Coturnix japonica: one gene and its partners. The protein of the gene in region 5 interacts with the protein of the main gene of each other region in a pairwise test. Links are inferred from orthologs where the notes say so. Each region holds a gene or a part of one and is shown on either strand. Other genes may lie near its edges.

Evidence for each region.
Region 1: the proteins of PAK5 (region 5) and FHL3 interact in a two-hybrid assay, tested with the Homo sapiens proteins (2 studies listed by BioGRID and IntAct). The two-hybrid records come from large-scale screens. The link is inferred for Coturnix japonica from reciprocal best matches to the Homo sapiens genes PAK5 and FHL3.
Region 2: the proteins of PAK5 (region 5) and ATPAF2 interact in binary tests that used the Homo sapiens proteins (3 or more experiments, as listed by UniProt). The two-hybrid records come from large-scale screens. The link is inferred for Coturnix japonica from reciprocal best matches to the Homo sapiens genes PAK5 and ATPAF2.
Region 3: the proteins of PAK5 (region 5) and INKA1 interact in binary tests that used the Homo sapiens proteins (3 or more experiments, as listed by UniProt). The two-hybrid records come from large-scale screens. The link is inferred for Coturnix japonica from reciprocal best matches to the Homo sapiens genes PAK5 and INKA1.
Region 4: the proteins of PAK5 (region 5) and TUBGCP4 interact in a two-hybrid assay, tested with the Homo sapiens proteins (2 studies listed by BioGRID and IntAct). The two-hybrid records come from large-scale screens. The link is inferred for Coturnix japonica from reciprocal best matches to the Homo sapiens genes PAK5 and TUBGCP4.
Region 6: the proteins of PAK5 (region 5) and CCNG1 interact in binary tests that used the Homo sapiens proteins (3 or more experiments, as listed by UniProt). The two-hybrid records come from large-scale screens. The link is inferred for Coturnix japonica from reciprocal best matches to the Homo sapiens genes PAK5 and CCNG1.

Annotation. Positions count from the first base shown.
Region 1 is NC_029538.1:3,109,210-3,114,252, reverse strand, and holds the start of FHL3 (four and a half LIM domains protein 3), read right to left. Parts: upstream 3,357-5,043; 5' UTR 3,225-3,356; coding exon 3,218-3,224; intron 1-3,217. UniProt on the Homo sapiens protein: Recruited by SOX15 to FOXK1 promoters where it acts as a transcriptional coactivator of FOXK1.
Region 2 is NC_029529.1:5,012,282-5,017,358, forward strand, and holds the start of ATPAF2 (ATP synthase mitochondrial F1 complex assembly factor 2), read right to left. Parts: upstream 2,998-5,077; 5' UTR 2,676-2,997; coding exon 2,576-2,675; intron 2,204-2,575; exon of another isoform or gene 1,879-2,203; coding exon of another isoform or gene 1,803-1,878; intron 1,600-1,802; coding exon 1,555-1,599; intron 1,221-1,554; coding exon 1,075-1,220; intron 647-1,074; coding exon 549-646; intron 1-548. Other genes in the region: GID4 (glucose-induced degradation protein 4 homolog), read left to right, coding at 3,141-3,353. UniProt on the Homo sapiens protein: Plays a role in the assembly of the F1 component of the mitochondrial ATP synthase (ATPase).
Region 3 is NC_029527.1:1,347,362-1,351,675, reverse strand, and holds INKA1 (PAK4-inhibitor INKA1), read right to left. Parts: upstream 2,590-4,314; 5' UTR 2,501-2,589; coding exon 2,450-2,500; intron 1,616-2,449; coding exon 821-1,615; 3' UTR 773-820; downstream 1-772. Other genes in the region: UBA7 (ubiquitin-like modifier-activating enzyme 7), read left to right, coding at 162-364, 533-647. UniProt on the Homo sapiens protein: Inhibitor of the serine/threonine-protein kinase PAK4. Acts by binding PAK4 in a substrate-like manner, inhibiting the protein kinase activity.
Region 4 is NC_029525.1:18,420,076-18,424,374, forward strand, and holds part of TUBGCP4 (gamma-tubulin complex component 4), read right to left. Parts: intron 3,939-4,299; coding exon 3,888-3,938; intron 3,458-3,887; coding exon 3,352-3,457; intron 3,018-3,351; coding exon 2,910-3,017; intron 2,671-2,909; coding exon 2,532-2,670; intron 2,088-2,531; coding exon 1,910-2,087; intron 1,009-1,909; coding exon 874-1,008; intron 676-873; coding exon 559-675; intron 310-558; coding exon 170-309; intron 1-169. UniProt on the Homo sapiens protein: Component of the gamma-tubulin ring complex (gTuRC) which mediates microtubule nucleation.
Region 5 is NC_029518.1:12,075,803-12,080,101, reverse strand, and holds part of PAK5 (serine/threonine-protein kinase PAK 5), read right to left. Parts: coding exon 3,618-4,299; intron 78-3,617; coding exon 30-77; intron 1-29.
Region 6 is NC_029528.1:9,005,748-9,010,713, reverse strand, and holds the start of CCNG1 (cyclin-G1), read left to right. Parts: upstream 1-1,563; 5' UTR 1,564-1,748; intron 1,749-2,018; coding exon 2,019-2,282; intron 2,283-3,142; coding exon 3,143-3,396; intron 3,397-3,963; coding exon 3,964-4,042; intron 4,043-4,127; coding exon 4,128-4,226; intron 4,227-4,445; coding exon 4,446-4,637; 3' UTR 4,638-4,640; intron 4,641-4,966. UniProt on the Homo sapiens protein: May play a role in growth regulation. Is associated with G2/M phase arrest in response to DNA damage. May be an intermediate by which p53 mediates its role as an inhibitor of cellular proliferation.

The DNA of each region.
Region 1 (5,043 bases), on a different chromosome or scaffold from region 5:
TTTCTGAATGCCACTTGAAAGAAGGGTATTGTCTTATTCGATTATGGGAATAGGGATACCAAAAACATGCATGCTGAGAGCACACACGGTCTTTAGACTTGCCTCACTGAAGGCACCATGCTTAGGGAGTCTTGGCCTCAACTGCAGTGCTATTAAGATAGATGGGCCTGGCCGTTCCCATTTGGAGAACCTGCTAGTAGCAAATCCACACATTTCTTTAGTTTCCCCTTGTTTTCCTTTTTCAACTAGAAAATCAGGCAAGAATAAGGAATATATTTATTACGCAGGGCTGAATAAACCTTTCAGATGCACTGAGCAGACCGTATGCTTACCAGTGTCCTACTTGCAAGAGAACACAAACAAACCCTAAAGATAGTCATCAAAACAAATTAACGGGCAGCAGCTGGCCTCCAGCCCCTAGGTTTCATACCAGGTCCAGGCAGGAGCTAATCTGGAAAGTGCCTGTTGCTTAGAGGTGGATTAATCTATCAGTAAGCCTCCTTTGCCCTTGTCGTTACAAAGTGATGGACAAGAAAAGGTGGTGGGGGATCGTAACTGGATGAGGGTTCAACTAGAAAGTCATAAAGAGGGTATATATAAATGCAGATGAAACTGCAAACTGGTGCTTGTGGGCCTCGTGTTACCTCGTTGTTGTAGCATTGCTTTTCTTGCTCTGTGTGCTGTAGCCCCGTCCCAACCTATCAGGATCACAATGGGGCACCTGCGTGGAGGCAGAGTTCTCCACCAAACAAATGTATATCAAATATACGTCCACAATAAGACCAATAAACCAACCAGCCCCACATTGATGACCATAAAACCCAGCTGACTTGGTCCATGGCCACACAGACGCCTAACTGCTTACCCAACTGCAGGATGAAGGCTCCAGAAACAATGTCTCAAAACCTCTTTGCCCCAAGAAATAAAGGTCAAAACAAATACACTACAACTCAAACATGAAAGCATGACAGGAAATGACTAACTGCACACTGAGGCCAACTTACCTTCGTCTTAGATCTACCCACTACACAAGGATCCTGCAATACAAACAGACACCACAGCTTCCATGCAGAAAAAAGAATCAGGCTGCTCGAGGTGCTTGCTATGGGGTGCAGACATCACTGCAAAACCAAGGCATTCTGCTTTATTTCCCTAATGTTCTCTTACAATTCCAGCTCTGTGCTGTAGTTTTTGTTTCCTCTAGCTGTTTTGAGGATGAAGCCATTCTTAGTTCAGAAGCAATGAATAATTTAAATTTCTTTTTACAAAGCGTTTTGTAGTCCCTGAATAAAAGGTTACGTCTCTGTTTTGCACAGGAGCCTCAAGCTTGTCTCTAAGCATGCATGAAAATCAACCCATGGACAGGCTGCAAGGGGTAGATGCAGCCATGTGCATGCGTTGTGCATCTATGCTGAAAAGCAATCCTGCATGGTCTGAGCCCAGCCCTTATTAATCACCTTCACCTGAGAGCCTGGCAGCCCTTTAGTTGACTAAGGATCCATTCAACTTCAGTTTTCGTTGTTGATGCTTTATTAATACACAAAGTAACTTTGATCTACAGGAGCAGGAAAAGACATCTAGAACACACATCTTATTTAACAATTGCCTATTGCTTCAAGGGCAAAAGGATTTTCTTTTTCCCCCAGACCAAATATTCTCTTTCTGAGTCAATTCCCTGCCTCCCAAGCTGTAGCATTCATAGTCTCCTATATAACAGTGATGCTGAGGAAGGTGGATGGCACCGCATCTGCATACAAAACCAGCAGAGCAAAGCAGAAGCCAAGGTGATAGGGGAGACACTGCACTGCCACTTGCATGCCATGCAGCTGCCTTCTTGCTGTCTGATCACCAGCCAGGGACCTCTTTGCCTCTGCCCTCACTTCTTGTGCAACAGCCTGCAGTCCTGCCTACCACACTTCTTACAGCTGCTGTGTCCCTCGCAAGCAAAGGCAATTACAGCTTTGTAACCCGCAGCATGTGAGCACTTCTAATTCTAGGGAAGGACTGAATCCTGGCAAAGACAAACTGTCTCAGGTTACCATCCCAAGAACCACTCGCCTGTGGTCCGAAACACAACTAAGATCTTCTGTTGCCTGGGAGATGCTGCATGTGCCAGCTGCAGCCGTCCCTAAAAAGGCAGCACTCCCAAGGACAGCGAGCCAAGCTAAGAAGGACATGGCACGGGAAGAGGGAGGTCTCCTGGAGCCATTCTCCTGCTAATGTAGACATAAAGTAAGTTTCAACCTTCTAGAGTTAATCATCTCTCTGCTGGGTGATCTGCTCATCAATAGTCTCCTTGGTAAAGCACTTCTCACTTAGACCCTTAGTGCTGCACGCTTTAAGCTGCAGAAGTTGTGATTATTGTGTATTCTACATAAAACCTCGAAGAAATAACCCACTGCAAGCACTAAAAATAAATGTGCAGAAACCCACATGCTTTCCAGTTCCTGCCATACTTTGAGATGCAGTCTTTGGTGGTACTTCTGAAAGGGAAGACTTGCCACATTCAAAACATACAGTGAAAGCAGCTATTATAAACGGGCACAAGCACTCACAAAATAAAGCGTAAATGCCTCTACATCACTAACACACTAAACATGGAGTTTCCTGTGTGTGGAGGAGCCACAGCCCCAAGCCCTGCTGCTGGCAGGTGCCACTGCAAAGTACTTTTGCTGACTGCCCAGAAACTCAAGAACAGCTGAAAAGTGCTCCTTTGCAGAACAAACACACAGAGATAAGAAAGAGTAACACTAACCAGCCTTTGATCCAGGCCTGTGGCTCATTCACAGAACCTCATAATCATGCTTAAATCTGAGATATACAAGGAGACCCACATAAAAAGGGATAGATCCAAAATTGGACTCTTCGAAACTTCTACATGAAGACTTCCACACAAAGAAGAGCTGATGTCTCAGCCCATGAAGCAGAGGTTGCAAAAGTACGTCCCATTTCTTTGCTGTGGAGGAGATGCTCCACACTCTGTCCCTGAAGGAAGAAGCAATAGCAAGCTGCTCTCTGCCAAGAGTTGCAGAGTTCCCAGGGCTGGCTGCATGCTCCTGCACTCCAGCACATCGGGCTTCACTACAGCAAGAAAACACCAGCACCCAACAAACCTCCCTCTGCTCTCCTCGTAGGTCAGACCAAAAACCAATCTACTCACAGTCAACGTGCCCCAAGCTGGCAGAGATTGGAACCCAAACCTCCAGGCTGTTGTTACCTTGCATTGTGGCAGTGAAGGATCTGTGCAGAGCCTGGGGATGTGCTGGGGCAGCTCCCACTGACTCACAGTGCAGGCACTATCAGCAGGTGCAGTGCAAGGGACTCTGTCCTGTAAGCACCTCACTTGTAGAACGCTCGAGTGCTCGCCCAGGAACAAAAGCAGCCACATCATAAACCAGATGGTGACATCAGCACTGGGATTTTATTTCCTGCACAGGTTCAGATTTCATTACTTGTGACATGAAATTGGACTCTTACAATTCGAGTTACTCTATATTTTCATAAAGGGCGCAGGAATCCCTGATTCCAATTTGTTGGATATAAATTGCTTCTCAACCTCCTGAAGACAGCAGCGCTCACTGATTTCCACTGGAAAGGGTCAGTGCAATTTGTACAGCACCATCCACTTGGGGCCCAGCTGTTCAAAATCCCTGGACTGCTCTTTTCCCTTCTTATTCCAAGTTCTGCTCTGCATCTCCTTCCGAAATTAAAGCTCAGAGTTATCAAGGATCTGACAGCACGTATTTCATCACTCCTGGGTTGAGTCATTGTTTCGGAGCACAGAGCATGATGCAGTGTGTGCTTATGGTCCAACACCTCTGCCAACATGAAATGCATTTCTGATTTTCCACATACAGCTGCTCAGGCTCTCCAAAAGCAACACATCCAAGACTTCTATACAAGCCCAACAGGCCAGAATTAATCTTCCTGTGCATTACATGATGTTTGCACAGGGTTGAGAAATACTAGAAATAAAAGTTCTCTTGGCTGAGTTACATGCAACACAGTGTACTTTCTGCTATTAATGACTTCAATAAGTACCTCTGACACTTCACATATTCCAGAAACCTCTTGTTTAGGCATCACAGCAGTTTTCTTAGTAGAAAAGTGTTCACTGAGCTAAAGTTAGCCACCGAAATGTCTTAGATTTTAATTACTGCCTTTTCTATTTGAAGTTTAATATGCTTGGAAAAGAGGCAGGTAGTAACTAACCCTCACCCAGGACACAAACTGAAGATTAGTTTGCTTGGAAGGAGGTTTAACTCCCTGACATCCCATCACAAACAACACAAGTACATATGGTGACCCAGTGCAAGACCATAAACACCAGAGTGCTCAGTTTCCACAGACCTGACATCCCATTCCTCTCACAGGATTCTTGCTTGGTCAGTTCCCCAGCAGCTGTCACCAGCAGGAGCACTACTTACCCTTACAACACCTGCAGGGCACGGAGCTATTTTATCTCCCTCCTGGGATTTGCACCTCAAAGGTTTTTGGCACAAGGCAAGCTTGGCAGGGCTAAAAAAGGAACTAAGATCCACGTTGCTGGCCAGCAACGGAACCAGAAAGCTTCCTTCTCCTCCTGAGATGCAGCAGCATGGAAAACATGACGTCCACTCATGCATGCTACAGATCTATATCCAAACAGAGCCCACAAGCTGTTCTATGTGAGAAGCAGGGGGGAAAGAAAGGTTGAGGTGAGCAGACCCAGCACTGTGGCTGAACCTGGGCTCCAGACCTTTCACCTGAGCAATGAGGAGTCTTTGTGTGTAGCTCCCAGCACTGGAACTTTGGGCTTTCAAAGCAAGAAGCTGGAATACAGCACCGCAGCAATGTAACACACAGGGCTACACCTCAGCTCAGGCTGTGTTAAGTCTTAAGACCCATTAAAACCATTTCTTCCTTAACCGAGGGCAGTGGAATTCGAAGGTGAGGTCAAAAGCCCAACAAAAGCAGCTCGGGGCAGTGCCTGGGAGCTCCACTCTGACAATAGAGCTCAGAGACAGCTCGGGGTCTCCTCCCTGTTGTTTTTTCACCACCCTT
Region 2 (5,077 bases), on a different chromosome or scaffold from region 5:
ACAAACAAAGCCACAAAAAGTGAGGTGAATCTGGTTTCCCTCTCCCTTCAGGAGCAAAGCAGCTGCCAGTGGACACCTCAGAGGCTGAGATTGTGAGACGTGAGCTTGGGTAGGCTGGATCCTGCAACCCACAGGAGCTTTAAGGAGCAAAGGGCATTTTACTACTAGTACAGGTAATCTAAGCTTACTACACCTTTATGCTACTGGAGTGCCAGGGGACTGAGCTGACATTCTCCCAAGCCTTTCTTTGCTTTTCCCACTACATTTCTTGCTGCTCCTGCTCCCTGTCCAACATGGACATCTCCAAACAGATTTCAACAAAGAAACAGGTCCCTGTTCTTTGTATCTATGCCCTTTAAATGCATGGAGTTCCACTAGGTTGGTGGACATAGGACTCGTCTAAACTAATTCAAACCCCTGGGCCAAAGCCAGGACAGAGCAGAGCCCTGCAATGACTTGGTTAGAACAGACATTTTCCCTCAGTTCTCTCAACCACTCTACAACAAGACAACCCCACCTCTGTGCCAGTGCATCCCGCAGTCCCTTACCAGACAGTGTCAGTCTCCAGGAACTTCACAGCTGCACGGATCAGCTGCACCTTGTTTCGCTGAGTGGGATTGTCCAGAGCTGTGTTGCACAGTGTGGTCTGCAGGATAAAGGCAACTGAAATCACTGTTATCTAAAGCTCAAGGAAGCAGCAGTTTCCAGTGTACTAGGTCAAGATAAGCAGAAGAATTTGGGACAGACTGCAAGAATCAAGGAGCTTACTTAAGAGGGAAACATAGAGTCAGAACATGGCTCATATAATAGAGTCTATCCAACCTGTTCATACCCCTTGCTATCCCCAGAAATGCTCTCCATCCCCTTCTCAAACTCCCCAGTGACACGGGTTTCCCTCCCAGTCCTGTAGCCAGCATCCAGCTGCCTGCTCAGCCTTAAGTTATCCACAGTACTCAGCCAAGGCACTGAACTCCTGTTCCCACTTCAATTGACATTAGGACAGCCTGGTCTCTCTCTGTGTTCTGCCTCTGGAGACCATTTTTGTGCTTCAGCACTCTGACCTGCTGTGCTCACCAGGTGCATAGTGTAGAACTTGATGGTGTCTTTCTGAGAGTCCCATTCTGTTGCCACTGCAATGGCCAAGGCCTCACTGGGGACAGTGAAGAGCTTGGCCTGGGGTGTTTTCAGCTTCCGGTGGTCCAGGTTGATTTCAAAGCCTCCTGGGGAATCAGAGTAGAAATCCTGGGGAATTAAAGAGGAGCAGGCACTAAGGAACAACAGACTACCCCATAGAGGGAACAAGCTCAGAGCTGGAGCTGAAGGGAGCAAGGAATCAGCAATTTTCCCACCAACATCAATGTTTTGACATTGCTCTTCCCCAGATGATGCTGGAAACTTTCCCACCACATGGTTTTACTATGGATGAGGACAAGGGCAGAGCATGTGGGTGACAGACAGCCCAGCTCACAACAGGGGCTGCAGACACAGCACTGCCTTGTGATGGTAACCCCCGTGTGAGTACCAGCCCTCGCCTGCCCCAGCAGCTCCACTCACCTTCTCCTTGTGAGATGCTCACGTTCTGGTAAAACCGCTTCCTCTCTGGGGGGTTGAAAACAGAGCAATTGAAAGGGTGGCAAGGGGAGGTTTGTCAGAACACAGGGAGCCCTCAGAGCTGCTGCAGCCCACAGAACAGCCACAAAATCCCACTCATTCAAGCCCCTCTCCATTCCAGTGAGTTCTATTCAACCTGGGAGGTGTCACAATACTGGTGACATCCACAGCAATGCCCCAGATCTCCTGACCACCCATAGGAGCAGATTTCTTGCAGACACCACTTGGAGGAACCATGAACCCTATGTGCAGCAGCAACTGGATCATGTGTCAGACACGTTGCACGTGGCAGCTGAGTCACTGGGGAGGAACCACTGTCCTCAGCTCACCGCAGCCCACACGTCTCACCCAGAAGATTCCCTTGACAATTACAACCAGCTCGTAAATGCTGAGCCCATTGAATCCACCTCCTGGCTGTCACTGAACTGTGCCCTGCCAACACGGGCCCAGCAGAGAGAAGGATGGGGATCCACTCAGCCTCCTACAAGCTTCAGGGCCTCAGGAAATGCTGCAGTGCTGGAGCACAGCTCTGGGAGGATTCAGGCACCTCAGCGTGTTCCCATTGGCCTCATGATACTCAATGAAACCCTGACTCCCATCCTCGTGTTTCCAGCAATATCTGTAGAGGGGCTGCACAGCCCAGCACGTGCCTGGGAGGGGCTGGTGGAGCTCCCCGCCATCCCACCCGCAACCAAAGGGAACCTTCAAACCCACTGATGGAAAAGCAGCGCAGTGACGCCCCACCACCTCCTTACCCACCTCGGAGCCCATTTTCCCTCTTCCTCCTTTCTTCAGCCCATTCTGAAGGCCGGAACCCAACCCCTCCCCCAGCCAGCAAGAGCTGACCTTGAGGAGGGGGCTCCCACTAATCCCCCCCCACACACACACACACCGACACCCCCCGCGTTCCCCCGCTCTCACACGGGGCTCCGGGCTCCTCCCCGCGGGGCCCACAGCTCCTCACCTGCGGGAGGGGCGTATGTTCGACTCCCACCCGGACACAGCGGGCGGCTCCGGGCTGCCACAGCCGGGATGCGGCCCAGGGCCTGCAGGAGGCGGCACATGGCGGCGGAGGAGCCGAAGAGAACGATGAGGAGCCGAGAGGAACGATGAGGGGCGGCGAACGGAGCTGGAGCGTTGCGGCCTACCCCGGCTCGGAGCGGCCTCCCCCGGCTCAGCTTGTCGCCCCGGGCGCCGCCATGTTGCCCCGCTCCGCCCAATGGGAGCACAGAACGCGCTTTGCCCCTTCGGCCTTCCCGTCGCGTGAGGCGCGAGGCGAACAAACTACATTTCCCAGCAGCCTCCTCACCGTAAAACCTGCCGGGAAGGAGAGCTCTCCGCCAATCGGAGCTCCGCCCCGCCTTCTCGCCGCTTCGCGAGGGCCAATGGGAGAGCGCGGGGGCGTTGCCGGGAGGCCCCGAGCCAGGCGGCGGCGGCGGCGGCCTGGGCGTGAGGGGAGCGGAGCGGAGCGCGGCCCCGGTGGCGGCCGCTGAGCCCCGGCCACGCTGGCGCCCGGGGACCCCCCCGAGATGCCGGTGCGCAGCGAGCGGGGCCGAGCGGGCGGAGCGGCGGGACCGGCATCATCGGCTCCGTCCGGAGCGGCCGCCAGCAGTTTGGTGCCGCCGCCTCCCATCAACACGGCGCAGCCCGGAGTGGCCACATCCCTGCTGTACAGCGGGGCCAAGTTCCGCGGGCAGCAGCGCAGTAAAGGCAACGCGTACGAGGTGGAGGTCGTCATGCAGGTGAGGGACCGTGTCCGGCGCCCACAGGGCCCCGCTGGGCCTCAGGCCTTCCCTGCTTCCCTCCCTTCCTTCCCTTCCTTCCCCTCTGCTCCCCGCTGTCCGGGTTCCCCTCGCCTTGATTCCGCCCGGCCCCGATCCCCCCCATCTCCATAAGCTCCTCCCTGCAGCCCCGGCCCTTCCTGCAGCCCCCACCCGGCTCTCACTGCCCCTCACTGCTCCATCCCCTCAGGGCTGATGGGACCCGGGGTCCTTCCTCTCTTTTCCTCTCACACTTTTGCCCCTTTTCTCCTTGTGGCTGCTGAGATACTTAACAGCAGCTCTCAGAATCACAGAATGACCCGGGTTGGAAGGGACCTCAAGGATCATGTAGTTCCAACCCCCTGCCTGGCAGGGCCACCAAACATACACATTTATTACATCAGGTTGCCCAGGAGACCCCATAGATCCCCATAGAGACCCCATAGATCAGGTTGCCCATGGCCCCGTCCAACCAGGCCTTGAACACCTCCAAGGACGGGGCATCCACAACCTCCCTGGGCAGCCTGTTCCAGGGCCTAACCACTCTCCTAGTGAAGAACTTCCCCCTGACATCCAACTTAAATCTTCCCTCTTTTAACTTAAAACCATTTCCCCATGTCCTGCTATTGCCAGCAGGACTCTCCTTCTCGTTCCCCTCAGGCCTGGGGTGCCCGTGTGCCTCTGGGCTGCCATGAGGAAGGGTGGGATCCTGCCTCGTGTTGGGAGGTGCCCAGGAAGTCCCGAGCAGTGGGACAGCCTGTATTTCAGGCCTGGCTGGAACTCAGCAGGGATCCAGGTCCCTGTGCTGGGCTTTGTGTTCCTCATCCCATGGTGCCAGTGGCTGCGTGAGGAACCAGGGGAGGGGTGCAGCAGTTCTGCTGTAATGGGAATGTGAGCAGACAGTTCTGCAGAATGGGGCTTTCCTAATCCTCTCTGGAGTCACTGTCACCCTGCGTGCTTTATTTTTAGTCAGAGGTGCTGGCACATTCAATTTGGGTAGAGGTGTGGAGTTAGTGCATGGGGAAGCCAGGCATTGATGCATGTTTTCCTGTAGCAAATCACAGCGCTGTTCCTGCTGTGAGTCTCTTGGATCGGGGCACCCAGGCTGGGTGTGCAGCAGTGCTGCAGCCTGGTGCATGGCTCGGCATTGGGGAGCAAAGTCAGAGCCCCAGGGTCAGTAGATGGGGCAGTGTGAACTGTGCCCTCTGCTTTCACATCCAGTCTTCTACTTGTCAACAGCATGACTGTACCCACTACAGTTTGTTCTGACGGAGACATCCTATGGCTGTTTAGTTCACTGCATGCTGCTTTCTCGCAGAGGCTGGCTCTATCTTTGTGCTAAAGACGCTGCTCTGTGCGTGTCAGATGAGAAGAGATGGCTGCCTGCTCTCCCTGTTACTGAGCGCAGAGCAATGTGGCTTTTCTTTGATCACAGGTGGGGAAGAGCCATCTTCTCACAGCTGATGTTTGCACTTCCCTAAATAATTCGCTTCTTGCTTTGAAAACCAATCTGGAGGTGTCAGGGGAAGGCTTGGAAAATCCCCCTGCTTGAAAAGCGCTCAGAGCAGAAGCATCCCACTGCTTCATTTCTGCATAGCAGAGGAGGTGAGATGCAGCCTCCCCCCCGGCCCTGGGGAAGGGGTGACTGTGAGGTGGATGTTCAGTACCAGCTGAAGCAGAACTGAGCCTTGGAAACTCTTGGGGTT
Region 3 (4,314 bases), on a different chromosome or scaffold from region 5:
GATTGTGTGGGGCTGGGCTGCTTGTCAATGGGGCTTTGTGCGTGGATGGGGACAGTGGTGCCGGGGGGTGGCTGTGTCCCATTCCAACTCCTTGTCCCCTAGCCCCCTCTTCTCAAACCCCTGTCCACAGCCCTCATCCATGCGCTCTGCTCCCCACACAGTACAGGGGGAAGGAGTGGAGCTGCTGGGACCGGCTGGAGGTGCGTGCTATTGGGGAGGATGGGCAGGCGATGACAGTGCGGGAGCTGCTGGCCTGGCTGCAGGAAGAGTACGGGTGGACCGTCACCAAGCTCCTGCATGGCAGCACCATGCTGTACGATGGGGAGGAGGATGAGGAGATGCGGGCACGGCAGCAGGCACAGAGGTAGGCAGCGGTTCTGGTGTTACAGGGCCCCCATCTCTCTCCTGCTCTGCTCCAGCTGCAGGGTAAACATCCTGCTGCCGGCAGCGCTTCCCCTGCTGGACCCCCGCCGGCCCCTGGCCATGGGGGCTGGGGGTCCGGCCCAGTGCAGAGTTTCTTTCCTGCCTGCAGGCTGTCAGATGGCGTGCAGGGCTCTGCAGAGCTGCAGCAGCTGGAGCTGCAATACGTGTGTGCCGGGGACCAGCTGGAGGACGCCTGCCCCCCACTTCTCTGCACCCTGCCCTGAGCCTGCGGGGTGCCCCGATGTCACCGCCTGCCCCACGCAATAAAAGCCATGGGATAAGCTGTGTTACGAGCTCCCTGCGTCGCACCCCCTGCCAGTGCTGCACCCCACAAAGGCGGCCGCGTCCGTATCGTACAAAACGGGGGTTTATTTACAGCGGGGGGGGCATGGCGGAGCTAGATGTAGCCGATGACGTCGTTGCAGATGATGGGCTGGCGGCTGCGGCTGTTCATGAGGGCGGTGAAGCGGTGGAAGTCCGTGGCCAGCTGGGCGATGTTGCTGTGGGACTGATGGAAGCAGGCTCCCTTGGGCTGCCCGCCCAGCCCCAGCGGGCACGACAGGCGCTTGGCGGGGTCGCGGCCCCCCGGCCGGGCTCCGTCGGCTCCTCGTGGCCGGGCCATGCTGGCCAGCTTGCGGCGCACGTTGCCCGAGAGGCTGAGCAGGAAGGCGGGCGGTTTGCCCAGCCGACGCGAGGGCTCCGCGGTCGGTCGGCGTCGGGGCTCGGCGCCCACCTCGGGCAGGTCCATCCAGTTCTCCACCAGGTCGGCGAAGCAGTTGTCCCCCAGCACCAGCGGCTGCCGGTTGCGGCTCTGCGACAGCAGCGACACCGTCCAGTCCCTCCCGTCGGCCGGTTCCAGCGCCCGCCACTGCTCCAGGCAGGCGTCCGACGTGGATTTGGGGCGGGCGCGGCGGGCGGGGGCGGGCGGGGGCACGACGGCGGAGAGTCGGTGATGGCGCAGGGAGGGCGGGGGCGGCCGCCGCAGCACCGGAGCTTCGTCCTCGCGCCACGTGCCCCCGGAGGCCTCCGAGTAGCCCGAGTCGCACTCCAGGCTGCGCTCGCTGGCGGGGGGCGAGCGGGCGGCCGGGCCCCGCTGCTCCTCCTCGCTGCAGGCGGAGCCGGGCCGGCGGGGCGCGGGGCGGGGGTCGTGTTGTGCCGGCCGCGTGCCGGGCATGTGCTCCCGGCGGCAGCGCTGCGGGGAGAAGGGCGGCTCAGCGTCGGGCCGGCGGCGGGCGCAGGTCCCGGCTCGCCCGCGGCCCCGGGCCCCGCTTTCCCGCAGCCCCGGCCCGGCGTGCGGCGGCATGTCGGAGCGAGCGGCGCCCGGCCCGGCCGTGCCTGCGGGAAGTGACACGGGGCCGAGGCACGTAGCAGCCCCGCGCCCCCCGCCACGGCCCCTCGCCGCCACGGGGCGCCCCGATGGGTGGGACGGGACGGGACGGGGCGACGTCCCCAGGGAGGGAGCTCCGCGCGAGGGCTCCGGCTGCCGTCGGACCCGCTTCCCCCCCGGCTTCGACGCGACCCGACCGCACGGGGCCGAGGGGCGGCGGGGGAACGGGGCGCGCTGCCGAGCGGCAGCGGAAGGAAAGAGCCCGGTCCCCGCGGCCGGGCCGCTCCTCTTTCTTGAATTCCTATTGTCTGAGCCCAAAAGCTGCTGCTACGTCCGCTTCCCTCTCTCGGATAGCGGCCCGTTCCGCGTCCCGTCCCGCCGCCCGCGGAGCCGCACGCCCGGTGTTCATTCCCCCGTCCCCTCTGCCCTGCCCTCACGTCTCTCTCCCCTCGCCCTCTCCCCGGTCCCCGCCACCGCCCCGTCCCGCCGTGGGGCGCTGGGAGGGCTCGGAGCGGGAGGGGCTCGGCGGGTCCCGGCTCCGCCGGTGTCGGTGCTGCGGCTGACAGCTGCCGTCCGTTCCCCGCCGGCCTCGCGCCCCCCGCCCGCGTCCCTGGCTCGGTGCTCCCACGCGTGATGTCACCGCGCTGATGTCACCCGCGGCCCCGCGCCCCGACACGCCGCGACCCGTCCGGCACTCACCGGCTCGGCGCGGCGCTGCCCGAGGCCGCCGTCCAGACGGGCGCTGTGCATCCCCGGCCCGGCCCCGCTCCCGGTGCCGGTGCCGGTGGCGGAGCGGCCGCGGCCCCGCGGAGCAGCGGAGCGCGGCTCAGCCCCGGCCCTGCCCGCCGCCTCCCGCCGCGGCGCCGCCCCGCCCGCCGCAGCCAATGGGGCCGCCGTAACGTGAGCCCGGCCCGTACCGGCACCGGCACCGCCCCGCCCCGCCCGCCGCCCCGGGGCCCCGCTCGGCGCGTCCGGACACGACCCGCGGGGCGAGGCGGCCCCGTTACCGAGGGGAGGGGAGCGGAGACCCGCCGCCCGCCCGCGCCTGTTAATTGCCGGCTATTAGCCGCTCTGCTTTGCTAATGAAGGGTTCCAATTAGCCGCCCGGTAATTCAGCCGGTCCCACGGAGCGCGGCGTGGATCGGCGGCCGCGGCGGGGTCGTGACCTGACCCCCCACCCGCCCCGGGGCTGGGCTGGGAGCCGCGGTGACCGGCGTGACGCCGCGCGTGGGTGGTGCCCGACGCCCGTGGCAACGAGCTCCGGCTTGTCCCAAACAGCTGCCAAACCATGGGCACGTACGGACACCTCACCTGCCTCCTCTTCCTCCTCCTCCGTGCCCCAGGTAGGCAGCCCTGGGCTTCAGCCGCACTCAAAGGAACCGAAAGAAGAGGGACGGGAAATGGGGTCCTTTGGGTGCCCACCCCAGGATGGGCACAGGGGGTGGCGGCTTCAGAGTCTGGGATATCTTGGGGGCATCACTGGGCACTGCAGGGGCAGCCTGGCAGGCTGCAGTGACACTGTGCTCTTTGCAGGGACCTTGGTAAAGGCAGCAGGTAAGAGCGGCGGTGCCACCCATACCCCCATGGGGACAGGGGACAGGACCCGGTTCCCTGACAGCCATGTGAGCTGCTGGTGGCCGTGGCCACACGATGCCAACCCTGGGGTGTCCCCCCAGCCCTGCCCGACCTGCCTCGCATAGTGACACTCAGTGAGGATGCTGCGCCGGGTGCCCGTGTGGCCGAGGTGTCTGTGTCCTGCAGCAATGCCAGCAGCAGCCCCCACGTCACACTGCAGCACGTCGAGTCCAGTGCCTCCAGCGTCACCCCACGCAACATTGATCCCAACCACCCCTTCAACCCCATTGCAATCAGTGCCGATGGCGTGCCCGCTTCCACATATAGGGCAGAGGTACGGCTGGGGGGCAGGGAGTGGGGCTGGAGCGTGTGGCACCCCACTGAGTGCCATGTCCCCACACAGGTGACACTGCGAGCTGGCGCAGAGCTTGATGCCCACAGGGTGAACTGGTACATGCTGTTGCTGCGCGCTGCCTGTCCCGGGGAGCAGGAGGTGACAGGGAAGCTGTACGTGAGGGTGACATCAGGACAGGCGCTGCGCTGTGCCTTCCCGTTTGCTAGTGCTGGTGGGGACGTGGTGCAGGTGTGGGCAGACGTGGCACCCCGTGAGCTCCTGTATGCGGTGCAGGCACAGCCACCGGGTGGGCTGACGGTGAGTGCCAATGCCCTGCGTCCTGCTGCCTCCCAAAGGGAGCAGACCCTGGGGACAGCACGGGAATGGAGTTCTGATCTCTCCTCTGACAGTTCCAGCTCACAAATAGTGGCACTCCACTCACACTGACCCGTCAGGGCCTGGTGCTGGCACCCGATGGTGGCTTCAGCCCCAGCAAGGACACCCAGGTGGGCACGAGTCCCTGCACGGGCAGCACTGTCACCACCACCCCTGGCACCACACACTGTGTCCTGCTCCCCCCAGGCAGACCCCAGGAATGCTCCAGCTCTCCTATTCCTGACCATGCCCCCAGCTCTGTCCCCTTCTGTATCCCATC
Region 4 (4,299 bases), on a different chromosome or scaffold from region 5:
CAAGTCTGTCTGGTATTGTTACTTCTCTATCACAGTGCTTGGTAGCATCTTGCTTCCACTGATTTTGGCCTACAGAAAAATCAACATTGCTTAATTACAAGTGTGTAGCATGCTTTATATTTCACGTGCCCCAGGATAATTCTGCAAGTGCCACTGAAGCCATTCCTACCTGCCCAAGGTGCCTCCAGCCTGTGTGTAGTATTTGTTATAATCCAGACGTAGTAGCAGTTGTGCTAAGTAGGAGTTTATTTGATGGTTTCGAACACTAGATAGAATCTTGAAGAGCAGCGACGACTGACGACTGAACCCCTACAAATTACAGGAAACCTGTTCAGGAAAGCCTCTCAAAAGTATCACTGCAAAAGATTTTTGCTTGAGGTCTACTATAAGGTAACCTGTGAGCCGAAACAATTAGGTGCAGCCAAAAGGTGATATTGATTAATTCAAGTAATTCTGAGTGTCCACACAGAAGGTCTGATCTCAGCGTAGAACAAGAGTAAAGTTAAAGCTTAGCTGTTTGCAAGGGAGATGAACAAGACCATATCAATAGACATTCACCTTCACCAGAATACTGAGTTGTGCAGCTCCACGCTCATCTAACGGTCCCAGATTCTGACTCACCAGAGAACAAAAACTATGACAAAGGTCCAGAATTTCATTTAAACAGTGGAAAACCTGTACAGGGAAAAAAAGTACAGGTTACCAATTACATACAGAGCTCAGCCTCAGAGGAAGTTTGTTTTTAGTTCCTGAAAATTAAAGCATTCATAATCCAGATGATATTAATGCCATATTTTTCAGTAGTCACCAAGGCCCTTTTTCTTGAGGAAAAAACAACTTATAGAAAAAGAGTTGAAAACAAGATCTACTTACAGGCTTTAGGAGGATGAAAGACTGAGCCAACAGATTACTTAAGAAATGATCATGAGCCAGTCGTATACTCTCAAAATCTCGTGTGGCATTTATTTGCTGGAGAAGCTGTGAGAACTGAGATTCCAGTACATCCACCTGATGAATATGCAAAGAGTTTACATTAACAGCTTCCTAGAAGAATAGGAATACCTCAGACCAGCTAGAAGTTGTATAAGAAATTTGCTTTCCCTACCGCTACCCTTATATTAGAGGCTGAGCATTGATTTCTATCTGCGTCATTAATGGAGTTCTATATACAACAGTAGTACAGTAATAAGGAAAGAACTGATCCCAAATGCAGAAAAACAGTTAATTTCTAACTAGTGAAAAAAGTACTTAGGAAGCATGACTTTTGGAGCAATCTATTTGTTTCTGTACGATAAATCACATTCACGGCTACAAAGCACTGTTTTTCAATACAGTCACCACCACTAACTATGCACTTTCACCAGCAATGGGCAAAGCCTGCATAATATGCTCATCAGGGCAAAGGCTTGAGCCATTACTCCAGAAAGCCTGAAAATCAGACCCCCTAGATTCCACTGTTGTAGCTATTAACAAATTGATTTTTGCAAAATTATGCTACTACTAACTACTGTTGGGATTTGAAACTGAGAACATGGCTTCTTTCAATTAAAAAAAAAAAATCCTAACTAAAAGAAACAAACACAAAACCACCCAAAAGAACTCACTGTTACTCAACAAAGTAGAGTTCACTTCAAGGGGCAAAGGACCAAGACAGGATGCAGCTTATTGATTTAGCTTCAGGGGTAAGTGGGGCTTCTCACAGCTCCTTAATAGCACTAGAGAGCCAGAAACATTTGCATTTCCATTAATACTTAAAACTCTATTGATTCACATATCCACTAACTGTACAGTTGTAGCACTGAATCCGGGAACTTGGAGAAAGTTGTAGTTTAAAACTTCAGAGCTCCCACCCTAGATTTCTGTCAGTTCCCAATTAAGTGATACAAGTTCAACTCTGTTTAATACTCACTTGGAGATAATACTGGAGATTGTCCACAAGAAAAGCCATGTGGTCCCTCAGACGCCACTTGATGGCATCAGTTCTGTTAGATTTCAGGTGTTTACGTTGCATCTGGAGAGCCCAGCAATGCTGTAGCTCTGCCTGGACCCGTCGCACGCTGAGCAGGTATTTGAACACAACATTGTACCTACAGTCAAAAAAGAACAAAGCTGTTTAGGACAGAACTCTTTCTTGATTACAGGTACTGGAGAACACAACAGTGTAAGACTGGAAAGAGAAATGGCAGATAGTTGCCTGCCAACAGACAGGGTAGATGAAGTAGCAGCCAATTTCAGTAACAGATTCGATTGTATTGGTTATTGATTACAAAAAAAAACAAAACAAATTCTAACATTACCAGAAAAGAGCTGGTGAAGTTTTGACAGATCTGTTTTGCTGACAGCTCAGCCATGGCCTCATCTGCAACAAGTAACCTCAACATTGCTAAGTAGGAAGAGTAAGGCTCAGTGAGCAAGCTCAGGTGCTAAAGCTCTACCTTTAGATAGGTAGATACCTTTTATATGCTCTCTATAAGGGAAAAAAGCCTGAGATCAGGGAGCTTCCAGACACAAAGACAATACTTAGTACTTACTTTTCCAAAACAGCAGGAGTAAAGAGAATATGCAGTGGCCACTGAACTTTGTAAGAAAGGCCCAGAGCTGCCCAGCCAGATGCAGGAGCTTCACGTGGAGATAACTCTCGGGAAGTCCCTTCACGAGTCTGAGAAGAATCTGAAAACAGATAAGGTGCTCAGTTACGTCTTTCTCTCAGTCAAGGCAAAGCCTTCCAGAGAAGAATGAAAAGGGGAAAGAACAGAACAAGAAGAGGAAAAGCAAACTAGGGTATCACACAGGGCTGTTAAGGAAGAGAATTTAATATTTCTTAAATCCACATGAGAGCAGTAGGATTTTGAAAACCAGGTCATTGTCATAATCCCTCTTAACTCATTACTAAAAATTCAAATAGATACCTTTATGCTCCTTTCCATGATACTCAATGGTCAAGTGAAGCAAAGGAAGAAGGTTGTCATCATCTAACAGTACCTTATGAGCAGACTGCTGAAATGCAACATTGATGTCTGATAGAGAGAAAACACAAATATTAACAGAAAACTCAAGATAGGGACAGTGCTTATTTTGCACCTATTAATTATTTACGTTGGGCCATAAAAGACCAACACTACTTTCACTACTTTAACTTCGCTCTTCAATACGGAGAGAAAGCTATCATCTGAAAGTTACTGAAAGATGTTATTTTTGCCCAATGTGCATTATTCTGTAATTCAGAAGTACTGCTCTTTCAAAACTAATGAAAACATTCAGAGGATAAGATAAGGAAATCTGCACTGGACTTTACTATTTTCCTGCCAGAGCACAGGGAGGACATTTTGTAGATGAGTAATCAGCACTCACCATGTTCTGTTACAGCCGTAGGTGGTGTTTTTAACATGTGCTGTGCAGTGTCAATGAAGGCCTGAAACAGCTCGCCTCTTCCCAAAAGGTAAAAGTCTTTTATAATCTGTTTAGAAAAGTTTTTATATGTAAGCATATAAAAAACTGAGCAGAAAGAGTAAGCATTATAACTGGTAATGCTTTTTGATTACTTGGACAATTTCTGCCATTTCAAAACACAGCTGGAGAGCTGTAAACTTCATCCAGTGGCCAGAAAGTCTACAGTGCAATGCACTGCAAGCAATAAAATGAATCTCTGAGATGCAAAGCACAAAACCACATACATTTTCTCCTTTAACTCTGTCTCTGACTAAGTTCTATCACTGTACTCATGATCTTGGGAAATGAAAAGAGAGTTACCTAAAAGAAGAAAGTATAAAACATAAGACAGTAAAGCATTTGCTGGGAAAGGACCATTAAAAAAAAATGAAACAAAGCAAATCCCACACCAGCAATTTTAAGCTACTTTTGCAGAAACAAGTTAACAGTAACATTACCTTCAGTTGTCCAAGTAAGTCAGATTCCTCCACCATCAGTTTCCAAAGATGCTAGTGAGAAAACAGAATAAACAAACAAGAAATCTCCTTAGTTACAGATAAACTTAATGTATAGAATTCAGTAACTGTCTTAAAATACTAGTGATAAATTTAAAATGCACGTATATAAAATGTTATATAAAACAAAAGAGGAAGACACTAAGATGACTCCTGGGTGGGCAACCCATGCTACTAACTACAATACTATATTAATACTATATTAAATACTATGTATACTATATGAATACTATAATACTGTATTAAAATTCCCTGCAGATGACTGGTACTATTTGAAGTCTTTGTATCATTAGAAGTTGGAATGATAGGACACTAAACCTGGTAAGAGCATAAAAGCTACCTACTTTTTTTCACC
Region 5 (4,299 bases):
ATTTTCCCTAGCTCTTCTAAGCTACTCACAATGAAAGTCAGCAAATACTCTGCATTCATAAACAAAACTGTCTCCATCTGTGAAAAACAGAAAAGGATCTAAGTCAAAAAAATGCACCTGGAACAAAAGTATTAATTTCTTTTCCCAGGAAAGGGCATCTCCACGTTTATGACATAACATACGTGACTCCTGGCGGCAGGTGGGGCACTGAGGGGCTGGGGGTGGTCAGGCACAGGCTCATGATGTAGCACGATTACAAATAATTACGGCAATGAATTCATTTAATCAATCAATTTCCGCGGCGGCCCACAGAGGTGGACAGCGCAGCAACCCCGACACAGCTCACGGCAGCTACTATTGCTGCTGGCTGCCGGCCAGGAGTCCCTGATCCATGTTAGTTAAATGCACATTAATCTGAATTTGGCAGTGTAATCAAGGACCCAACTGAACTGTGAAATTGAATTCTGCGCTGGAACATCATTTGACCGTTTTATGCGAAGACTGCAAAAAAAAAAAAAGAAAAAGAGAGAGAGAGAGAAGAAAAAAAATCTGCCGCAGCATCAATCTATCAGTGTAGGCTGCTGCACAGCGAGGAGGAGATTCTAGCTGGAGTCACTCGGTTGTGGGGAGAAAAGCCTCGGAATGAAGAAGAGCAGCGCTGTATCAGCGCTTCTGGGCGCTGCGTGTGAGCCGGGCATGCCCCTGCTGTCCTGCTGGGGGTGAGCAGGGCACAGGGGATGCCTCTGTGTGAGGGCTGTGCAGGCACTTCCATTGGCAGCGTGCAGCTGGAGGCGGCTGCTGTGTGAGCTCCCAGCCACACGGTGCCCGCATCCAATGCTGGCAGTGTTACACGGCCGCCTCCTCGGCTGCTGCTTCTGTACGCGTGTGACATACAAATGCTTACGGTTGGGATTTCACTTATGCAGCTGTGAGATAGAAGGGGGTCGGAGACATCGTGTGTTTCGTGAAGGACATGACAGCTGCCCAACTAATTAACACAGCAAAGTGCTCAGATGGTTTGGTGGAGGGAGGGGAACTCAATCCAGACCTGTCCTATATATCTACGTACACAGAGCCACACAGATGATTGCTCTGACTGCGAATACACCATTTTTATATCAAGATGGGGAAAGCCCAGTCTAAAACTAAAACGAGACAAATCCACACCAATGGACCACCACAGGGCGTCACCCACAGCCTCTCTTTTCTGAGCATGCCCCATGTGTTGGGACAAGCAAATTCCGCAGTGAAATTATAGAAGGAAAACAGAGATGTTCAGCGCCTTTTTTGCAAGCTTTCTGCAGCTCGTGTTTCAGTGTATCTGCAGTACAACCATTCACTTCCTGCAGACCATGCAATGTTACTGAAGTAGGGGAGCCCAAGTGACTCCATCAGCCTCACCTCTCCTCAGCTGTGCCCTCACACAGTTCTTCACAGCGTGGCAAAATTGAGCACACTTGATTCTGCTAATAATGCCATTATTCCTGCTATTGGGTGCAATTACCTACCAAAAGGCAAGTCTGTAAATACTACAAAGGAAAGTGAAAACCAGCCCTACTCTCATTCAAGATGAGGTCAGGGGAGCACATGAAGTCACAGCCCTGCAGTGCAATGCGACGTGCTGCTGCTCGTCTGGCTGCAGCCTCACTCAGGTCTGTGCATGGCCACCTCAGCAGCCAGGTATGACACAACATGTCTGAAACCTGCTGCCAGAACAGGGCATGTATCTCATTTATCTGACATCTGTAATAATACCCATCTGCACCTACTCTTCAGATTTACAAGTCAAAATGCACATCTTTGTTAAATGCATTTTGAAGCCCTACGTTTGTGCCTGAGGACTTTTTCAGTGCTTACTTTTTCCCCCTTTTAATTATACTTTAAAGCCAATTTCATTTGTACAATATCTGATTTGAGACTCGATTCTCACTTAGTAAACCCATTAAATGAACCATTATCTTACTAATGCCTCCTTGAAAAGCAGATTCCTCAGCAATCATCCAAGACACGAAGCTGCTATTCACTTCCAGGAGTTGCGGATGGGTTTGGGAATTGAAACTGCTGTGTTTAACAGTGAATCATCAAATTTCAATATACCGAGGCTACACGAGTGCTTTTGATGCTCCAAGGAGAGCAACGGCTCAAAATGAATCTTGCACGAAGGCATCTTTTTCTTTAATAAAAGTTGTTACTGCATTTTAATGGGATATTTTACAGCATCTGCAATGCTCCAAGTCCTGTGAAATACACCTCTGCCTTCCATCTTACTGAATGCTGTAAATCTGGCAGGAGCAGGAACAAGAGAGTTTATGAATTATTGGTGGATTTGTCCTTCCTCTTTCTCAGCAGACAAAATGATTGTTTTAAAAGAAAGAAATGGCAGGCAGCCCATCCCAAGCTTTCCTCACAAACTCCAGAATCTGTATTTTAACACAGCTAACAATGTATAGGCATCCCTCCCAGAAAACCTAAGCAAGATGCAGGCATGCCTCTGGTATGAAGCCATGGTGTATCTGCAGAGGTCTGAGATGACATCTGGGTCTGACCAAGTTCTCAGTGCACAGAGGCTGTAAGAAAACACACTGTTCAGACACCATCATAAGCAGAAGGGGTATCATCGTGTGACAGCTACCAAGCTCAGCACATCTGGCAAGTCACAGCAATGCTGCCTGTTGCTAAGGGAACCCAGTAACATTCAATGAAATCTACACCAAAGGAAAAAACATCTCTTGCAGAATATTAAATGTTTAAGCAGGTCTTTTTTGGAGCAGTGTGACTTGATGGAGAAGAGATTCCTTTAGCTGAACAAGGCTGCAAGAAGGTAGGGTAGGGTATGATAGTTTGCTTGGGTAATATTCATGCAACTTAGAAAAGGCAGAGAGAGCAACAGCTTCTGCAGAGGAGCTGCTTGTAGATAACACAGCGGAGCTGCTTTCCTATCTTGACCCTTATTTTTGTTAACAACTACTGGAATGTCTTGGGTGCGAGGAGACACTTGGATTTTATTTCACTTCTTAAAAATTGAAGAGGTAAGGGATAAGTCCCTTCCCTCATTGGTGGGAAAGGGTTAATGAATCTCATAGTACACACAGAGCACTGTCAGACTGGTGGCTGTGTGGGCTGGTATGAGCTGGCTGAGCTGCAGGCAGCTCCTCTGCCTGACAGACGTGCTGGGATCGTGGCCGTCTTTCCTCAGCAAACCAGGAACGGTTTTCTAACTGGCACAGAGATGTCAGCAAGAACGACTCAAATACAAGAAGTACCTGACATTCAAACCAGACCAACTTCCCAGCTCTGCCAACATTTGCATTAGCATACGAACTCCTAATCCCATGTAAACTGCCACAGAACTTGGGATTTTCAGAAATCCCAAGTAAAACTCATGGAAGTTGGGTGCCTCCAAACTGTTCTTTGAATAAGTATCTTAAACCTCTTGTTTTCAGTTACCCAAGTAAACCTGGTGGGATTTTATATCCACCTAACCATGGTTGCATGCTTCCTACCACTGTGTTTCCAAGCATAGATCCATGCCCTTAACATTTTGCTTAATTTTTTGCATTCCCATTTTGGAAGGGTCCCTGTCCTGGCAGTACCCACACCAGGGGTCTTAACATTACCTTGGAGATGCCTGCTGCAGTTTCAGACAAGCGAGGGTAGGTGTAGGAGCTGTAGGAGTGTCCCTGCTGGTGTGCTTTAAATGCACTTGCTCCATAGGGCATGGCTGGCTCCTGCAGACCGGAGCCTGACCTGGACCTCTGCCTCATGGTTGGCTGAGGACTCGCTGGGTCCACGTAGGATGACTTGGGCCTCTTGTCATAGTCATCCTTGGCTGGGCTGTGCCCCCATTCGCCGTCACTGTACTCCAGTCTCTCCTTGGGGCATTCGCTCTGCACTGACGCTCGGGACAGGGCGTAAGGGAAGGGGTCTCTGTAGTCCAGTGAGGATCCACTGGGAATCCTCTGGTACTCCAGCTTTAGACCTCCATATTCAAGTGGTTTGGGCATCGTCTCCACTTGTGCATGGTAATCCGGAAGGAACCTGGAGAGGTCTGATTTCAGGGGTGTCATTTCTGAATAATATATGTCCTTGGAAGTGACTTTCATCATGTGCCCGTTCTGCTTGGCAGCGTAGCCCCCTTTGTAGTACCTGTCTAGCTCTTCCCCATAGAGAGTCTTGTCTCTATACTTATCCATGACATAGTCTGTTGTTGTATCTGACTCACTGGAGTACTGTGAATATGTGATGTAACCATTTTCCTCCTGGTGCCTTGGCACATGGTTTGCATTGCCTTGGTGGTGT
Region 6 (4,966 bases), on a different chromosome or scaffold from region 5:
AAGGTTGTAAAGCTAGGAAAATACAGAGGGTGCTCCAAAAGTAATGCCTCCTATTTATTTCCATAACTACAACAGATGCAAGGAGCACATTAAGTTTATTTGATATCCAATGACATTGCAAATGCACTTGCAAGTCATTTTGACAAGCATGTCATAAAGAATATGGTCATGCAGATGTTTTGCTCTGCGATAGTTCAATTCCACTTTATTCTCTCAAACGTATCTAAAACGTTTTTATGTTTTATTATATTAGTTTTTATATTTTAGTTAAAATTTGTCATGGTTTAACTTAGGAGCCTGCAGTGAAGTCTTAAAAACATTAGCAAAGAAAAATAAATATCTACATTCCTTAGATTTCTACAGGCAACATTAAATTAAAATAAAGAAGATTTCTGACCTAAGAAGGAATGATAGTTGCCCAAATAACAAAGTAGAAAATTCTGAGATCAACACAGCTTGAGAAACCTCCTCTTGAAGAAGCAGGACACCTTTTAAATTAGTATAAGCTGTAAAACAAGTGGAAAGAAGGAAGTATTTGCTGATGAAGAAAAGTGATTTTGAGACATTTTTACTTAGATGTGCGAAACAGTTTTATAAGCATCTCTGTTGCTTTTGCAGCTAACTGCAAGAGGCCTGAAGATACAACATGGCGCAGCGTGGCATGGCTTCTATGAGCGTTTTTCATCTCAGCATGCAGAAGCAGCATGGTTTCAGCAGTTGCTCCTTATTCTACTTTACATGAACGAATGACTGTTGTAGAAACACGGGGATGCAAAGTATCAGCTAACAAAAGTGCTGCAGATTATCTCCGAGTAGCAGACACAGGCTCATGGGGTTGAGGTAAAAACACGTGGTTCAACACAAAGAAGCACACAAAGTGCCTCAGGCATCCACATGTGCTGCACAAGATGGCAGAACAAAGAATCAACACCTCCTCCTGCCAGGCCAACCTTCCTGTATTCTCTGAAGGAGGATCAGAAGGCTCAGAGAAAACAGGAAAAAACATTTATTAGTGATCTGAATCAAGGAAAGAGTCCAACAGCAACAGTTAAGCCGTGGGACCATTGGTTGTCTGGCAAATATATCAAGAAATGAAGCAGAAATTTGTAACATTTCAAGGTTTACAACAAAAGAAAAACTTCTGAGCAACTCAGATCGACGATCCAACAAATGAAATCCTGATGTTCAATAAATGTAAATACAGTGAAGTCCACTTTCAAGCACCCAGATCTGATAAACAGAGCGTGCAATTCTTTGGGAAGCAAAACAAATAAACAAACAAAAACACTCACTTGGAAGGCTACATTCACACGGCATTTCTGGAAATTAATATATATATTGCCTTACTTCTTAGTCCGAACACTTCCACAAGCACACACCACAAGGGATCATTTGCTTTTAGTCAATGGATCTAAATAGTGAAACATCCGAAATAACACCCCAAAAAGTTTCAGTAGACGAAGTACCTTCCACGTGCACGCCTTCCAACACCGGCCATGTTCCATCGCCGCCATTAGATGGAGCTGCAGAGCAGCACAGCAGGCTGAACGTCAATCAGCCCCGCGGGGTGGGCCGGGCCGGGCGGAGCGGAGCGGGGGGCGGTGTAACTGAGCGGAGCCGAGACGGGTTTATGGCACCGTGCGGGTGGGGGTCGGCACCCGGGTGAGTGGGGGCTGTGTAAGGGTTGAGGCTCGCGCAGCGCCTCGGGACCTTCCCCCGGCAGAAGGAAGCAGTGAGGCGGCCACAAGGTAAGGGCACGGAGTCGGACCCAACAGCCGGCGGTTCGGGTTTCTCCGCGCCGTGCCCGCATCGCTGGCGGTGCAGAGCGGGGCGGTGGGCGATTCGTACCCGCTCGGTGCGGCCCCGAGGTGGATGAGGACAGGCCCGGGCTTATCCCGGACATGTCCTGTGCGGGCGGCGCGTGCGCGGCCCCGTCGGGCCCGGGGTGGTTCGGTGTTGTGAGTGTGTGTGTGTGTGTGTGTGTGTGGGGCTGCGTTGGAACTTGTTTCTTCTTGCAGATGATCGAGACGCTCGTGAGCAGCGATGCCCGCGCGCTGCTGTACCAACTCACAGCTCTGCTGGAGCAGGAGGTGCGGTGTCAGCCGAAAGGTTCGGGCCTGAGGTTGATCGAGGCTGCCCATGATAACGGGCTCCGAATGACCGCCAGGCTGCGAGACTTTGAAGTGAAGGATCTGCTCAGCTTAACTCAGTTTTTCGGCTTCCACACGGAGACCTTCTCGCTGGCTGTCAACTTCTTAGATAGATTCTTGTCCAAAATGAAGGTATGGCTGTTTAAAGTATAACCTCGTTAGCTTCTCTTCGCTGCGACCTTGCTCCTGTTTATGTAGAAGGTCTTGCTTTGTTTTTAGATGGCTAAAGGTTAAGCTCCTTCCCCAGATCCTGATTGCAGAGCTTAAAAAATGGCTTTCCCTGGTTGGATTTCAGCAGTGCTAAGAAAGATGCTTCCTCTGAAGAAGAGAAGGAAGGGGGCGTCTGTTCCAACTTGAGGGTGCCCGTAGGCTTGGAAATGCAGGCTGCGTTATTGCTTTAGATCGAGACAGGCTGTCTGGCCTGTTGCACATACCCAAGAACACGCTGAATTACCTCACAGTTTACTGCTGTTTAAACCCACTAGTGTGTCTTAGGTATAACAAGAGTTGGGATACTGTTCAGCATTTATTAATCATGTAAAATGAGTGTCTAGCTAGCATTCTGTTCTTTAGCATGTATTTGGCATGCTGACCTGGGTTATTTGTCTTAACAAGACAGGATTACTGCTATTCCAATTAGTCCAAGACAAATGCTTGACTTTCTTGTATGTTAGTATGTCCCTTAAAAATCAGAAGGCTGGGTGGAGTATGAGACTTCTGAATCCAAAACATGCCCTTACAGATTCTCTGTGGTTCCCTTTTATACATACATACATATGTGTGTATATATGTATATACACTAAATTCTTGGGATAAGCCAATATGTACAACACTTTAGGTCCTACACAACCTCATTAAGAAACTAGTTCTACCAAATCTTTTTTTTTTTTTTTTTCCCCTAAAATAACATATAATTTGGTACTTGCATATTGAAATGGTTTATTTAAGGCTTCCCTCTTTAAAAGTAACAAAAAACTTTGACTTTTCTTTAGGTACAGCCTAAACACTTGGGCTGTGTTGGATTGAGCTGCTTCTACCTGGCTGTGAAGGCGACAGAAGAAGAGAGAAATGTTCCCTTAGCCACCGACTTAATTCGAATAAGCCAGTATAGGTTCACTGTTTCTGATATGATGAGAATGGAGAAAATCGTATTGGAGAAGCTGTCTTGGAAAGTCAAAGCAACAACAGCCTTCCAGTTTCTACAGCTTTATCACTCGCTCATTCATGAGAATTTAAGCTGTGAAAGGTAAAATATCTCAAGCTTATTTTGTTAACAGCTGCAGGTGATCAGGAAGCCTATGTTGGAAAACAAGCAGATTTAGTCAAGTAATTGGCCTTTGGATATTCAAAAAAAAAAAAAAAGAAAAACCAACAAAACAGGATAAAACCTTCCTCCTTAATATTAATGTGAATACTGAGGTGTAATGTTATCTTAAAATGTTTTTTTTTGTTGTTGTATAAAGTCATTAAATGAGTGTTGTTCTCTAAGTCCCAAAACAAATTACTCAACAGTGATAGTGTAAGAATGTTATGTCTGTAAAGCCTTACTGCAAAGGTTTCAAAATAGGGTTTCAGAAAAATGTTCCTTTTAGTAGTTAACATTGAAGCTCCCTTGTGCTAAATCTATTTTGATAATGCTGTTTTTCCCACTGTAATGCAAGATTTATTTTGGGCATGAAGACTGTCAAAATTTAACACCTGCTTGACTAAAATAGTTCTTCTCCTGGTACAAATGAGGCCCTTGTTTAGAGAAGAGTGGTCTTAATAAATGTTGTGTTCTTGTGCAACAGTGACTTATCTGTTTTTATTACAGGAAGAGATACCTTAATTTTGAGAGACTTGAGACCCAGCTTAAGGCATGTCACTGCAGAATCATGTTTTCTAAAGCTAAGGTAAACTTCTTGTAAGCTGGTTGGTGAGACTGGAGAAACTTTAAAGTTGCAGATCAAAAATGTCATCTTATCTTTCTCTCTCCAGCCTTCTGTCTTAGCACTGTCTATTCTGGCACTAGAGATAGAAGAACAAAAACTACTGGAATTGACAGAGGCACTGGAATTTCTGCAGTTGCAGTCCAAGGTATGGATAAAGCTTTTCAGGGTGTGGGAATAAAAATGCATGTGAAAGCTTTCTCGCTGGGGGGAGGGGAGTTCTATTGATGTGCTGGTTTCTATTTTCCTCTTTTTATCTTCCATCTGGCTTGAGATGTTTGGCTTTTTATCTTAAGTAGCTAAAAATGCATATGTAATTTAAGGATGTAATGAGTTAGTAACATATGGATTCTGTCTCACTATTTAGATAAACAACAGAGATTTGACCTTCTGGAAGGAGTTGGTGTTGAAGTGCCTTACAGAATATTCCTCGAGCAAGTGTTCCAAACCAAATGTCCAGAAATTAAAATGGATCGTGTCTGGACGTACAGCACGGCAGCTTAAACATAGCTATTATAGAATAACACACCTTCCTACAATTCCAGAAACCAGCTCGTAATAGGTAATAACCTGTAAAAGCAGCTTCTCACAATGTAGAATTAATTAGCTGTTAACTATCTCAAAGTTTCTTAGTCCATATAGGTAACCTGTTGGAGATGTAAACGTAGATGTAGTAGGCCTGTCACAGAGGCTGGTCTGTTCTCATGTTCATGCTTGAGCCTGTGATGTACCTAAAGAAGTGGCTACCTAATACGTGAACACTGGAAAAGGAACTGATGCTTTGATGTACTTTGGGAGCAGAAAAGTATTCTACAGACATTGGAACCTCATTCAAACTTATATACAGAGTAAAACTGGTAAAACAAAAAGCAGGGGAAATACTTAGCT